Arabidopsis thaliana: one gene and its partner. The protein of the gene in region 1 interacts with the protein of each later gene in a biochemical or structural test. Each region holds a gene or a part of one and is shown on either strand. Other genes may lie near its edges.

Evidence for each region. The genes of interacting proteins can lie anywhere in the genome.
Region 2: the proteins of FAS1 (region 1) and CYP71 form a complex in vitro, tested with the Arabidopsis thaliana proteins (one study listed by BioGRID).

Annotation. Positions count from the first base shown.
Region 1 is NC_003070.9:24,318,896-24,325,785, forward strand, and holds FAS1 (chromatin assembly factor-1 (FASCIATA1) (FAS1)), read right to left. Parts: upstream 5,197-6,890; 5' UTR 4,985-5,196; coding exon 4,526-4,984; intron 4,403-4,525; coding exon 4,303-4,402; intron 4,222-4,302; coding exon 4,074-4,221; intron 3,992-4,073; coding exon 3,868-3,991; intron 3,737-3,867; coding exon 3,372-3,736; intron 3,291-3,371; coding exon 2,985-3,290; intron 2,464-2,984; coding exon 2,382-2,463; intron 2,306-2,381; coding exon 2,168-2,305; intron 1,904-2,167; coding exon 1,490-1,903; intron 1,416-1,489; coding exon 1,278-1,415; intron 1,185-1,277; coding exon 1,011-1,184; 3' UTR 501-1,010; downstream 1-500. UniProt on the Arabidopsis thaliana protein: Component of the chromatin assembly factor complex (CAF-1) involved in chromatin assembly following DNA replication and DNA repair. Assembles histone octamers onto replicating DNA in vitro.
Region 2 is NC_003074.8:16,164,419-16,171,168, reverse strand, and holds CYP71 (cyclophilin71), read left to right. Parts: upstream 1-1,864; 5' UTR 1,865-1,967; coding exon 1,968-2,152; intron 2,153-2,319; coding exon 2,320-2,405; intron 2,406-2,493; coding exon 2,494-2,582; intron 2,583-2,788; coding exon 2,789-3,028; intron 3,029-3,120; coding exon 3,121-3,242; intron 3,243-3,529; coding exon 3,530-3,605; intron 3,606-3,733; coding exon 3,734-3,841; intron 3,842-3,922; coding exon 3,923-4,099; intron 4,100-4,540; coding exon 4,541-4,758; intron 4,759-4,921; coding exon 4,922-5,054; intron 5,055-5,158; coding exon 5,159-5,382; intron 5,383-5,481; coding exon 5,482-5,635; intron 5,636-5,717; coding exon 5,718-5,801; 3' UTR 5,802-6,234; downstream 6,235-6,750. Other genes in the region: AT3G44590 (60S acidic ribosomal protein family), read right to left, coding at 6,511-6,537, 6,648-6,750. UniProt on the Arabidopsis thaliana protein: PPIases accelerate the folding of proteins. It catalyzes the cis-trans isomerization of proline imidic peptide bonds in oligopeptides.

The sequences.
Region 1 (6,890 bases):
TTTCGTGATGGCTTCACTTTGCATTGCTATTGCTTTATTTTACTTCTTTGACGATTATAAACACATTATGGTATTTTATATTTGTATACGGTTGAAAAGTGAACGTTATAAAACATCTATTTTCTGCTACTTTCTCTAAGTATAAACAAGCACAAAAGATTTAAAGGTGATTTGATATGGAAGTACGTAAAGGAAATTTATAGAGACTTTTGAGTACTGAATAAAAACATTTCTTCTTAACCATTTATCATTCCCTCACCTAAAACGCTTTTACCGATCTTATATAAACATCATACATTTGTATCCACAAGAAACCGAAAAAAGGATGTAACCAAAAAAAAAAGATGGAAATTATGAGTCTTAATTAAACTCGCGCGTTTTCCAATCTCTCTGCCTCTATGGACTCCAAATTTTGTTAAAGATAATAAGTAGCAATATATATTAAGAGAAATGTTATTTGTTTGGAGATCTTAACATGTAATCTAGCTTATTAGTAAATAATCTCATTCTCATTAATTTGGTAAAAGTTACAATTGGGGGTTTATATACAATTGACCAGGCCTAAACCAGAGCCTCTTAACCAGCTAAACCAACCTATACAGACTCCAGTTAAAACTATACAAAACCAGAATATTTACAATGAACTCTATATACATAATATAGCTTTGTAGACAGATTGATTTCGAAGTCGTGAGAAAACTTGCGAAGAAGAAAAGATGGAGGAGGCTGAGACCGCGAGGAAGAAGAAGTGAAAACGATTTAAACGGTGTCGTATTATAAAATAAGGGTTTATGATTACTCCCAAGTTTTAAAGCCTTTTTAACAGAACAAAACATCTCGCTATTTCATGTTGCTTCTTAATACTTAAACCATTTTATCATTTCCCTCATCTCAAACATTTTTACCGATATTGAGCATTATACATATCCACAAGAAGCAAACAAAAAGGATTTAGCCAAGTTGAGGGATGGATGTAACCAAAAAAATAAAGATGGAAACTGTGAGTAGACTTAAGCATTTTCGTTTTCCAATCTCTCTGCTGCGTCTTCAACTGCAGGTTGTGGTTTTGTGGATGGAGGTAAACAACGTTTTGAGAAGAATGTAGATATCGTTTTCGGTAATCTCTTACCGCCTTTATCTGGTGACGGTGATAATCCAAGCTTTGTCAATACTTCTTTCTTTACCTGCTCGTTAGAACAAAGGATCGCGGGAATGGTGATAAGCAACTATGTCTCAAGGCAAAAAACTCAAAATAGAAGATCGAAGTATTAACTAACCTGCCAACGACTATCCTCGAAATCTGATATTTCACGCACTTTTTGTCTAAGCTTGGTCTTTGGAACATCAGGGAACTTCTGCTGTAATGTTTCAACTACCCTATTGATACCTTGAGAGCATGATTGAATAGTTGATACCTGGACGCCAAATTCTTGTTAGGGCTAAGTAGCAATACATAAACAATGTTATTTGTTTGGAGAGATCCACTTACAACTGTAAGCAAATCTGAGTCTGGTATGATTTTTGCTTTTGAATTAGATGGAGGAGTGCTCTGGCTACAAGAAAACTTGCTGGCTTCTTGATCTTCATCTTGAATGTCGTTGATCGATATCTCAATGAGAGAAGACCAAGGGAATTGTCGCACCATGAGAGCTCGCAGACATATTTGTTCTACTTTTTGTGTCCCTTCTAGATCTTTAGCAGCTAAGAGAGAGACCTTCTCATGAGTTAGGTTACATATGATCAGTGGCTGCGTTTTCTTCAGAGCATGGTCAGTTAAATTTTGCAGATGTTTTTGTTGTTGGAGTAATGCGCAAAACTCTGGACTTTCTTGATCTTGCTTAGATGATGTCGTATTTGCATCCTGTTCAGACGGATCAATGTCCATTCTGTCCACTTGGACCCCCTGAAACAAACAACACACTTTGTTAAGAAACTTTACATTCGTTATAGCGTAGCTGCCTTTAGTTAACTATCCCCTTCACAAAATTGGCACATGCTCAAAGAAAATGAGTGATCAATTATAAGAATGAATGAGGAATTCAAGTTGTAACTTGATCAATAGTTTGGATACTACAAAGAAATGCAAATTTGACTTCAGCAGATTCCTAGATTGCAACCTAGATTTATAAGAATCTATGACGAGTTCATTAAAAATTGCTTTTGTTACCTCATCTTCTGAGAGATATCCATCAGGCACCATAAAGTCATCTTCACTATCATCTTCATCATCAGCCTTTGAACATCCTTCTTCCAAACTTTCGTCTTCATCTTTCTCACAATCTGAAAGGCTTTCACCAGCTTCTTCCTGTAAAGAAGTATCTTTATTACCCAGTGATCTTTTGTCAAGTTTAAAAAGCATGTACTGAATTCAATAAACCTACCTCTTCCCATTCTTCATCACTATCAACTTCATAATCCAATTCTGGATCCTTTTGCAGAGGACGACGTGGCTTTACAACTTGACTGCAAATGTTAAACAACAGATCCCTCAGTACCATTGTAAGCAAACTTAGAGAGTGAACACTACTTAATTGAACAGCTAGATGCATATCAGAATAACAAATGGTATTGTCGTATCAGAATCACAGAGAACGTTCTGTACATTACAAGTTCACTACAATGATTGTTCAATCCAAATTGAAATGCATTGGACGATAATAACCACAGATCCAACATAGACGATGGTTAGTTAATTAAGGAATCAGAACAGGGTAAAGTAGCGTAAAAGTATGTTTACTTCATAGGTCATTTATCATCTGCTTTATTAAACACCATGAAAAAAGTAGTCACATAGGCAGCATCGGAAAACTTTATGACTTATGCAGTGAAAATTGAAAAATGTTTCGCAACAAAGCTAATATCAAAAAACAGTACCAAACAAACCCAGGGGAAAGCTTGCAGTTAGTCAAGGCTTTTTGGCTAACTAATAATCTATATTATATAAGCTTACTGCTGAAATGAAAATTTTCAAAATAATTACTAACCTTTGGCTGGGCCAGATACCATAAAAGCCTGGTCTGCAGCTTTTATCAAATTGTAACAACTGCTTGACCCTCCTGGACTTCTTACGATTAGATGAGGAAGGCTTACACTGCCTACCATCAAAGTTATTCTCTTCACATCCATCCCCTTGCTTCTCCATGTTAGGTTCACCGTCAGATGTTACTCCACTATTTGTAGATAGTTTTAGTTTTGGAAACAGTTCACTCTTAGGCTGCCTACGCATCCCCCAATGTTTTTTCGAACTCGAGAGCAAATGACCCAACTGACGCCAGGAAGCAAAGTGTTCCCTACAAAGAAATACAACTCAGATCACAATACCCAAAGTGACACCTCACAGAATCAATCAACAAGGAGAACCAATGTCATACCTGCGAATATCATCAACTGTAGCTTCACAAGTTGTTGAAAAGGCGTTGTCAATTGCCTGAACAACTTTTCCAATTTCATTCTCATGTTTTGTACATGACAGCTCCTGAGCAGTTACTTCACTGGAAGGAAGTTTGGGTTGGGTCAATGAACTATCTTTGCTCTTTTTAAGAAACCGTTCCATGATTGAAGCTTGTTTCTGTACTTGAAGTTGCTTCTTTAGCTCGGCTTGTTCCTTCTCTCTACGCTTCTGCTCCTTCTCCGACTCATCTTGCTGTTTCTTTATCCGTTTTCTTGACTCTGTCTCTTCTTTTTCTTTATTATTTTCATCAACAATTGCTTTCTGCAGTAGCTTCTGCTCTTTTTCCTGTCACAGTGAACAAATGCTCAGTCAGAAGTCAGACTTTGAAATCAAACAACACATCCTAGATGACTAAAAGAGAATAAACAGCGCCAGAAAAGACTTCTAGAAGACAATGAAGAAAAAGATCAGCTTACTTGTTGCAATTTTTCTTTCAATACTTGACGTTCCATTCTCTTCTTCTCCTTCTCAGCTTCACATCTATTTTTCTCCAATTGTTTAAGAAGCAGCTTCTCTTCTCTCTTTGAGTCTTTCTCAGCCCTTAACGATCAAACACAATAACTGAGTAAGAATGAAAAACAAGAGATAAAATGTAAACCAAGTACTAACAGAAGATACTTACATTTCTGAGCTGTTCTTCTGCATCATGTTATCCATGAATGATCGAATATCCACCTCACTCAGTATTTTACCAAGCTTCTCAGCAGCTTTACTCAAATCAGATCTCCACAACTTTTCAGTTTCTTCTCTTTGTAATGCAGCTAACATTGCTGAAACACAACATAGGGCATAAACACTCACATCTTATAAACAAACAATCAATACGAATCACCACTAAAAACAACATTTACCAGAAACTGCTGTAATCCTTTCATGAATCTTCTTTCGACAAGTCCGGCGAAGTTTTAACACTCCACGAACGGAACTCGGCATGATTTTCAGATCTCTCGTCTACAACATCAAATAAACATTACATCTCAAACATTAAATGACATCACCAAAGAGTATAAACCACACCAAACTTACCATTAGATTCAAAGATCAAAACTTGTAAGATTAGCAAACTAAGATTACCTCCCAGCACCAAAGACAAGATTCAGAATCATCCTCCAAAACATCAGCATCTACGTTAAGCACACCGTAACTAACTCTCTGACCAACAGAAACAACAGCACTCTTCACAGCTACCATAGTAACACTTTCAGTCTTCTCCTTCAATTTCAAGTAAATCTCATCTACAAGCTTCGACAACGGCAAACTCATTTCCTCCATTAACAAAGCCACCATCGAATTCAATGAGGAACATTCACTAAATCCAGAAAACAGATCTGTTCTCTTACTCTTATCCATAACTTCTCTGAAATAATCAAAAAGCCCTTTCATCTCTAGATTCAACGACGAGATCTGAGATTCTTTCTCCTCAGATGTTAGATTCTCAATCGCCGTGGGTTCTCTCTTCCGCTTATTCAGCTTCTTTGGCTCTATCATCGTCTTCCGATTCTCATTTTCATTCACCGTCGAAACTTCGTCCATCGCAAAAAAAAAAACTAGAAAAATTCGGGAATCTATAAACCCAGGAAAATTGAAACAAGATCTAGAATCTAAGAAATCGATTGCGAGAAACACGAGCTGAGTGGAGATTTGTTGTTCCTTTCGTGATTTTGATTTTGGATTTTTTTTTTCTCAGAGTTCTTAGGTTTTTGGAGAAGAAGAAGAAGAAGGGAGTGGGAAGATGGATAGGTTTGAAAAAAAAAAAGGATAAAAAAATAAAATTGGGGATTCACTAAAAAGAAGGGTCGTTGATTTTCCCGCCAAGGTTTTGACGGGTGGATTTGCCTCCAAATGACAAAAATGCAATTTTACTGTTTGGCGCCACTCAAGTTTTGGAGAAGATGAAGGCCTATGTGGGCCTGCTTTTGTTTCTTTTAAGCCCAATATAGTGGGGGAAACAATTGGGATGACATATAAATAGAGACTAGAATTTACTAATTTTAAATACTCATGCGGATGCGGTTATATAAATAGAGACTAGAAATTACTCATTTTAATTTTAATTTTAAGCCTAATACGGTCATGGTGAGCAAGAGCTCCGAATGAAACCGAATAATACTTTGGATACGATTTATGAACGAGGTAAGAAAGTGAAAGGAAATGAAGATTTGTAGCAAGAAAAGGGAGGGAGAGAAGATGGTGAGGTTTTTGTTCACTGAGCATATGTTGTTGACTGACCATATGAGGGAATCAATTGATGATGAATGATGTGGTAGTAGTGCGTGTTAATTTGTCGTTAGAAAAATGTTTGAATTATAATTCTTCGCTTTAATTTTCTTCTAAAAGATACTAACAGTCATACTAATTAAGAATGAGTAATTGGTTGGACAATTCAATAAGCAAACAAAGTGAGTTATTAAATGGCTAGTGTTTTTATTTGCGGCATTGTACTAAACGAAATAACAAAACAAAATAGAGAGATGATTTTCTGTAATTGTAAAAATAGGAGAAACCAATGAACTGACGTTTTATTCAGTGTTCACTTTTCAGTAATAGGAATCAGATAAAGAATATTTCTTTTATTTTCAAAATTTTTTAAAAATATCCCAAAAAGGGTGATAAGATTTGGTGGCCATTAAAAATGCTACTTTTATGTGTGAGCTTTTTGTATTCATTCCCACGAGGCTACCCTCACGGCTCAAGCATCTCTCGTCATGCTTCTGACGTTCTTCATCTCCCTTTGGATATGCCATTTGCATGATATGATACATTATACATTGATAGCTTCATACTAAATAATGCGTTTTAAAGGCTTAATAACAAATTAGTATAATGTAAAATGCTATTTGAATTTATTCTGTATATAATGTTTTTGAAAAACTTAGGAAATAGTGATGCATTGCAACAAATTATACTAGAAAATATCATGCTTATACCATTTATGGTGACGGCATAAAAAACTTGTGCAGTTGGAACCTTAAAAACGATATTTACGTAAATTATGACACTAAATGGTGCGTTTAAACGATTAAACGTTTATATTTATTGCAATACATCACTATATTGCAACAAATTATCTAAAATATCCAACCTATGCTATTATTCATAATGGCGGCATAAAACTTGTGCAATTAGACCCTTTTAAATATTCTAAGTAATTACGTCAAAAAAAAAAAAATTACACTAGATATTTGTTTTCATTGAAAAAGATCACAAACTCAACGTCAACACAGGATGGTCTAAATTAATCAACGTGGAGATGAAAGTTAAGAGCTATTTTAAAGGCACAAATTTTTATGTTAAAGACTTTTGTTCCTAACATTCATTTCCACTTCCAATATAAGATAATTCTAACATTAAAAACTTATGGTGAAAAAATATTTTTTAAAAATTTTATCTGATTTGGGGTTCAAAAATATTATAAATAAAAATTCCATAATTTCTAACG
Region 2 (6,750 bases), on another chromosome or scaffold:
TTTTCCTAGCCACTTATATGTTATGTTTTGCAACCAATATGTTTGAGGATATATTGATGCGAACATATGCCCTCTCTTTATTTTATAAACATTAATTCAAGATTATGCGTTTTATTATTAAAAAATATGACTACTCTTTATTGCATACATTGAAAGCTTTACTAGGAAAGGGCGTTGAGAAAAAATATTGAAAGTGAAAGTCTTCAAATTAAGGAGATTATTGATAAGAATCCTAATTCCATCGAAATCCTTCGTATGCATCTTTGTTCTCAAAACCAAATCTTATGTTTATTCAAGATGCAGCTAAGAGTAGAACGTTAAGGTCCTAGCTACTCGAAGATTGTTAAGGTTACGAGAAATAACTGCATCGTTTGTTTGTGTTGATTGATTTGGTTCATCATATTCTCCCTTTGCTCCAAAATCCAAGTATACTTCTTTTATGATCATATTTATTTTTTTAAAATAAATTCTCTAGTATCAAGAGAATGAATGTGATCATAAAAGAACTGTACCTGAATTTTTGGACAGAAGACGAATATGATGAACCAAGTAAATTATCCCAAATAACCAATAAAATTATTTCTAGTTACCTTAACGGTCTTCAAGAAACTAAGACCTTTACGGTCTATAATTATATGCTTCATGTATATTTAAGTGTTTACATCCTTACGTTACATTTTATAATAAGGATTATAGGACTTTATTTAAATTTGAAATGATGTATGTTAAGAAATAGTTTAGAACTTTAGATAGTATATAATCATGTTGGTTATTAAACTCAAATTATTTGGATTCTTCAGTAACAAAATTTTGGTAGTTATCACCACGTCAGTTGCAAACAAAATGGCCTCATGACGAAGCAGCAAGTAAGTTTTTACATGTCCTTTTAACGGACTATTTGTACATAATAGAAGTTGAAACATAGACTGCTTTCAAGTTTCACCAAAATTGAGTTTAGGTATTACGTTGAATCTGACAAATGGTTTAAGGCTAAACCCCTATTAGGACAAACACTGAAACTGAGGTTGACCAAGAAACATCTCGAGGATAAGAGTCCATAGTCAAATAAGAACAAACAGTAATGGATAAAGTAAGTGATAAGGAGGCCGATTAGGAGCAGCTGCTATTTTTTGTTGTAAAAACTTTGGTTATTATGATTTTAATTGTAAAAAATTGGCTGTAGAGATTTTGACTATGGAGAATTTAATTATTAAAATCTGATTAGTAACAAAAAAAAACTGTAACAACTTATTTTATTATTATTAAATATTTTTTTATAAATATAATTTATGCTAAATATGAATTTATTTGAAAAATTAGTGACTAAAATAAATTTATTATGAAAATTACAAAATTCATAAATAAAAAAAATTATTTTACAAATTCACTATTTTAAATACTCCATCTGTTTCACAATATAAGTTGTTTTAGCTAAAAGCACACAAATTAAGAATATTTACTTTTAAAAAGTTCTACCAATCATAAAAGAGAGTGCATAATATAGATAATCATAAAATATTAAAATAATATATAATTTGTATTGAAACTTGAAAACAACTTATATTGTGAAACAAAAAATTTGATCTAAAATAACTTATATTATGAAACGGAAGGAGTATTCAAATTGGATCAAAAATAAAATAAAAGTCTATTTAATTAATCAAAATTATTTGATAATAAAATATAAATTATTTATATATTTATTTATTATTCTCTCTCAAGATAAAACTCGATTTATTACTTTTATGAATTAGGAGCTGAAAATTCTGCAAAATACCCAATTGGGTCAGGCTCATAAATTTATATATGGGCTTAAAAATAAGGCCCAATAGATATATTTAGTTCATGAATCTACTTCTCTTCTCTATTTATTTCACTCACTGTCTCTCTCTGACAATTCGAAGTTGTAGCAAACCTTGCTTTCAATCGACGAAGGAGTTTTGAGTTGAGGAAGTGAGTAGAAATCAATGGAGGAAGAATCTAAGAATGGCGGAACCACGATTCCGACTGAAGAATTGGCGGTGGTTGCGGTGCCACCTGTAGTAGAAGAAGAGGAGCCGATGGTCGGACCTGGACCAGCTCCACGAGGCAAACGCAAGCGTCCGCTTCAATTCGAGCAAGCTTATCTTGATTCGCTTCCTTCTGCTAATATGTAAGTATGTCTTATGCTTTGGAACCCTCTCTGTTCCTAATCGAATCAAGTTTTGGGGTTTAGGGTTTTAATTTGAGCTTATTGGTTTAGTATTGTTGTTGGTATATATGAGCTTATTATCTGTGAATTGGTATTGAAAAAGTAACTCTTGTATATTTTTTCACTAGGTATGAGAAAAGTTATATGCATCGAGATGTAGTTACACATGTTGCTGTTTCAGCAGCTGAGTTCTTTATAAGTGGAAGTATGGATGGTAATGTTTCTCATCTTTGTGATATTTATGATTTCATTCTGGTTTTGTAATGGCAAAGCATAACATATGTATATTTTGCATAATCTAGGTCACTTGAAATTTTGGAAGAAAAAGGGTGTTGGTATCGAGTTTGCTAAGCATTTCCGCTCCCATCTCGGTCCAATTGAAGGTCTAGCGGTAAGTATCGCGAGTGGTTTTTAAGATACTGTCACCTCAAATCCAGGCATATGCTCCATGTTTTGAAAGATTAGCTTTTTATTTGTTTATTGAATGAAGATAGTTGACCTGGCGGGGAAATTATAGTTAGACATGTTATGGTTTCCGCAATTTTTTTGTTTGTGTCTAGTTCTATTATCAACCAATGACTCGTTTCAGCAATGCAGGTTAGCATTGATGGTTTGCTTTGCTGTACAATCTCAAATGATCATGCTGTTAAAATATATGATGTTGTCAACTACGATATGATGGCCATGATCCGTTTGCCATATATTCCTGGTGCTGTTGAGTGGGTCTACAAGCAAGGGGATGTCAAAGCTAAACTTGCTGTCAGTGACCGAGACTCTTTGTTTGTGCACATTTATGATCCTCGTTCTGGTTCCAACGAACCCATTGCTTCAAAAGAGGTTTGTTTCAATCTCTTTTTCTTTTGTTGTTATTTCTTGACTCATCATTTTTTATCAAAGCTAACAGTTTTTTTTAATCTTTGTATACCCAGATACATATGAATCCAATTAAGGTCATGAAGTACAATCCTGTTTCGGACACAATGATCTCTGGTGACACAAAAGGAATCATTGAGTACTGGAGTGCAACTACATTACAGTTTCCCGAGGATGAGTATGTCCTTGTCTCACTTCTTATCAAAAACGCTTTTATTATTCCATTTCGGTATTGCTGTTTGTTTTCTATAAATTGGAGCGTGTAGGATAAGAGAAGCATACCTGTTTTTCTGCGTGTGGCTAATGTAGTTAAATATCATATTACTGAGAATGATGCAAAGAGGAGCCTGTAGTAGAAATACTTTAGTTGCCAACTTCTTAGTTGACCATCTTTAGAATTTCAGTATAGTTGATGGGCTGCTTTCATTAATGGTTCACAGGTTGACCTTTTACTTGTTGTTGTAGGGTAAACTTTAAACTGAAGAGTGATACAAATCTCTTTGAGATTATAAAGTGCAAAACAACAATCTCTGCCATTGAGGTACTTATTTGGCATTTAGTATCCTTGGTTTTTCTTTACATCCTTAGAATGCAGCTATTAGCAATTGATATGTCTGGTGAAAATCATAATGCAAATTTGGTCTCTAAGTTTAGTGAAATTCTTTTCAGGTGAGTCCAGATGGTAAACAGTTTTCCATTACAGCTCCTGATCGTAGGATTCGTGTGTTCTGGTTTAGAACTGGTAAACTGAGGCGGGTATATGATGAGTCACTTGTGGTAAGGTTACATACTCTATGCTTCTTTCCTTACATGTTTTCACGTTAATCTGTCATGGTTAATGATCCATTCCACTATTAGGTGGCCCAAGATCTGCAGAGGAGTGATGCTCCCTTATACAGGCTTGAAGCTATTGACTTTGGTAGAAGAATGGCAGTTGAAAAGGAACTTGAAAAAACCGAGAGTGCTCCGCAGCCCAATGCTGTGTTTGATGAAAGCTCTAATTTCCTTATATACGCCACTTTTCTTGGAATAAAAGTAAGGAATCCACTTATTGTTTTCGTTTTAAATTACCATAGACTAGCATAACAGTCTAGACATGATAAGTATCCTGTCTCACATGCACATGATACAATTAACGAGCTTAAAGACCTGGGATTTTCACCTTTACTTAGGTGATGACCAAGATATAATGTGGTTACTTCTTTGTACCATATATGAAAGTGGTTATACTTTCTGCCAATATAGTGAATTTAGAATAAAAGAAGCTTGAGATTTTTTTTGTAAATTTGGGTGTCTAAGGGGTAGTGGGAGGAGCTCCATTATCACTAACCCTCAATATCTATGTATTTTCAGCAGATCATTATGTAAAAGCGGACCAGTTTTTATGATTTGATTGTATCAGAACTCTTCCATGCGTAGTAAATGGAATCATGACAAGCAACTGCTAATTTCTCTGTCTACCTTTTTGTTCTCTAGGTAATAAATTTACACACCAACACAGTTGCAAGGATCCTTGGAAAGGTGGAGAGTAATGAAAGGTATCTGAGAGTTGCATTATATCAAGGTGATCAAGGAGGCAAGAAAGTTAGAAAGATTCCTGCAGCTGCAGCAAATGTAAATGAAAGCAAGGAGCCTTTGACTGATCCGACTATCCTATGCTGTGCCTTTAAGAAACACAGGATCTATATGTTCAGGTACGTGACTCATATTGTGCTAGAATGACTCATCTTTATGTTGTGGGAGAAAGAATTATTTTTTCGCACCTTTAGATTCTACTTTGTAGAAAGACCTCATATGTTTTCTCTAGATATCCCGAGAACTACTTTGAATTTATTATCAACAAATTGGTTTCTGCAGTCGGAGAGAGCCAGAAGAACCTGAAGATGCAAGCCAAGGGAGAGATGTGTTTAACGAGAAGCCTGCTGCTGATGAACTTATGTCTGTCTCAGATATTGGAAACTCAGCCACAACATCCCTTCCAGAGAACGTGGTATGTTTTCATAACCCACAATGTTGGTATCTATTTTACTTTTCATTACGTACTGTAATTTGGATCCTTAACACAATAACTCTTTTTAACTCCTAATCATCCAGATAATGCATACTACGCTTGGTGACATTCACATGAAGCTTTACCCAGAAGAATGTCCCAAAACTGTGGAGAATTTCACAACACACTGTAGAAATGGCTATTACGATAACCACCTTTTCCATCGGGTTATCAGAGGATTTATGATACAGACTGGAGATCCTCTTGGGGATGGTACTGGAGGACAGTCAATTTGGGGCAGAGAATTTGAGGACGAGTTTCACAAAAGGTAAACATTTCTTACAGGCTGCTTTGAGTTTAGCCATCCGTTTAGAAACAAATGAAATCTAACTTAGTTTGATACGTTGTTCTTTTACTTGGCCTGCAGTCTAAGGCATGACAGGCCGTTCACATTGTCTATGGCAAATGCCGGCCCAAACACAAATGGGTCTCAGTTCTTCATCACAACAGTGGCTACACCGTGGCTAGACAATAAGCACACTGTTTTTGGAAGAGTTGTGAAGGGAATGGACGTCGTTCAGGTATGATTTGAAAACCAAAAAGAATATTTTTACTTGTTGGCTTAGTGTGACTTAGTGCCTAACCATAAAACCAAATGAACAGGGTATAGAGAAAGTGAAGACAGACAAGAACGACAGGCCTTACCAAGATGTGAAGATACTTAATGTCACCGTTCCGAAATCTTAGCATCTTTGCTACTGTCTCAAAGATAGTGAACAATCTATGCTGATCCGTAACCCCGTGATTGGTTCTATGCTGGGAAGTTGTTCTTGCGGAGATGGATCGAACTGTGGGATATGTTTGTTGTACCCGAGCAGATCAGGTTAAGTTGGTGGCATCATCTTCTTGACACTAAACATTATTTTATGTTTTTGTCAAACAAATTTTATGAGAATGCTTAGTGAACAAAAAGACTTCAACTTCTAATGTTACTTCAATTCCTCTTATTTTCTTGAAATAGAGTTGATCTACTTTCTTCTAATTTATCCAAGCTTCATGGGTTTATGTCTGAAACGACAACACGACAACACCAATGTTTGAAGTTAATAACATAGAATCTCAATTTCACTTGGATTTGGATTTTTCTGTTTATTTGGGATCACTAAAGATAAACTTTTCCATGAGTGTATCAAATTCTAGCCCTCTTAGGCACTTATTTTGTGATATGCTAACATACTATGAACTAAACTATGTAAATTACAAGCTTAGACCAGATTCAACATGTAAATCAAACGGAAAACGATAAATGAATAACCCGCAAGGTCGCAACATAGTTGAAAAAACTCTTCTTGCTTCATTATCTAAGGAGTAAAATTCGTAATCCAAGAAGCAAAAACCAGAACCACTAAGAGAACAAAAAATCAAATCTCGACTCCTTTCCGTGGGGACAAAAACCTTACTCGAAGAGACTGAATCCCATGTCCTGCATCAAAGGTGAAGGATATAACAAAGAGTCAGATAAAGACCAATATCAAGACCATAACAAAGACTAAGTAATAAGGAAACAAAATGATAAAGAGAGAAATGCTTTACATCATCAGACTCTTCTTTCTCTTCCTTCTTGGCTTCTTTCTTCTCCGCAGGGGCAGCAGCACCACCACCACCGCTTGATGGAGCAGCTGAAACAGCCACACCA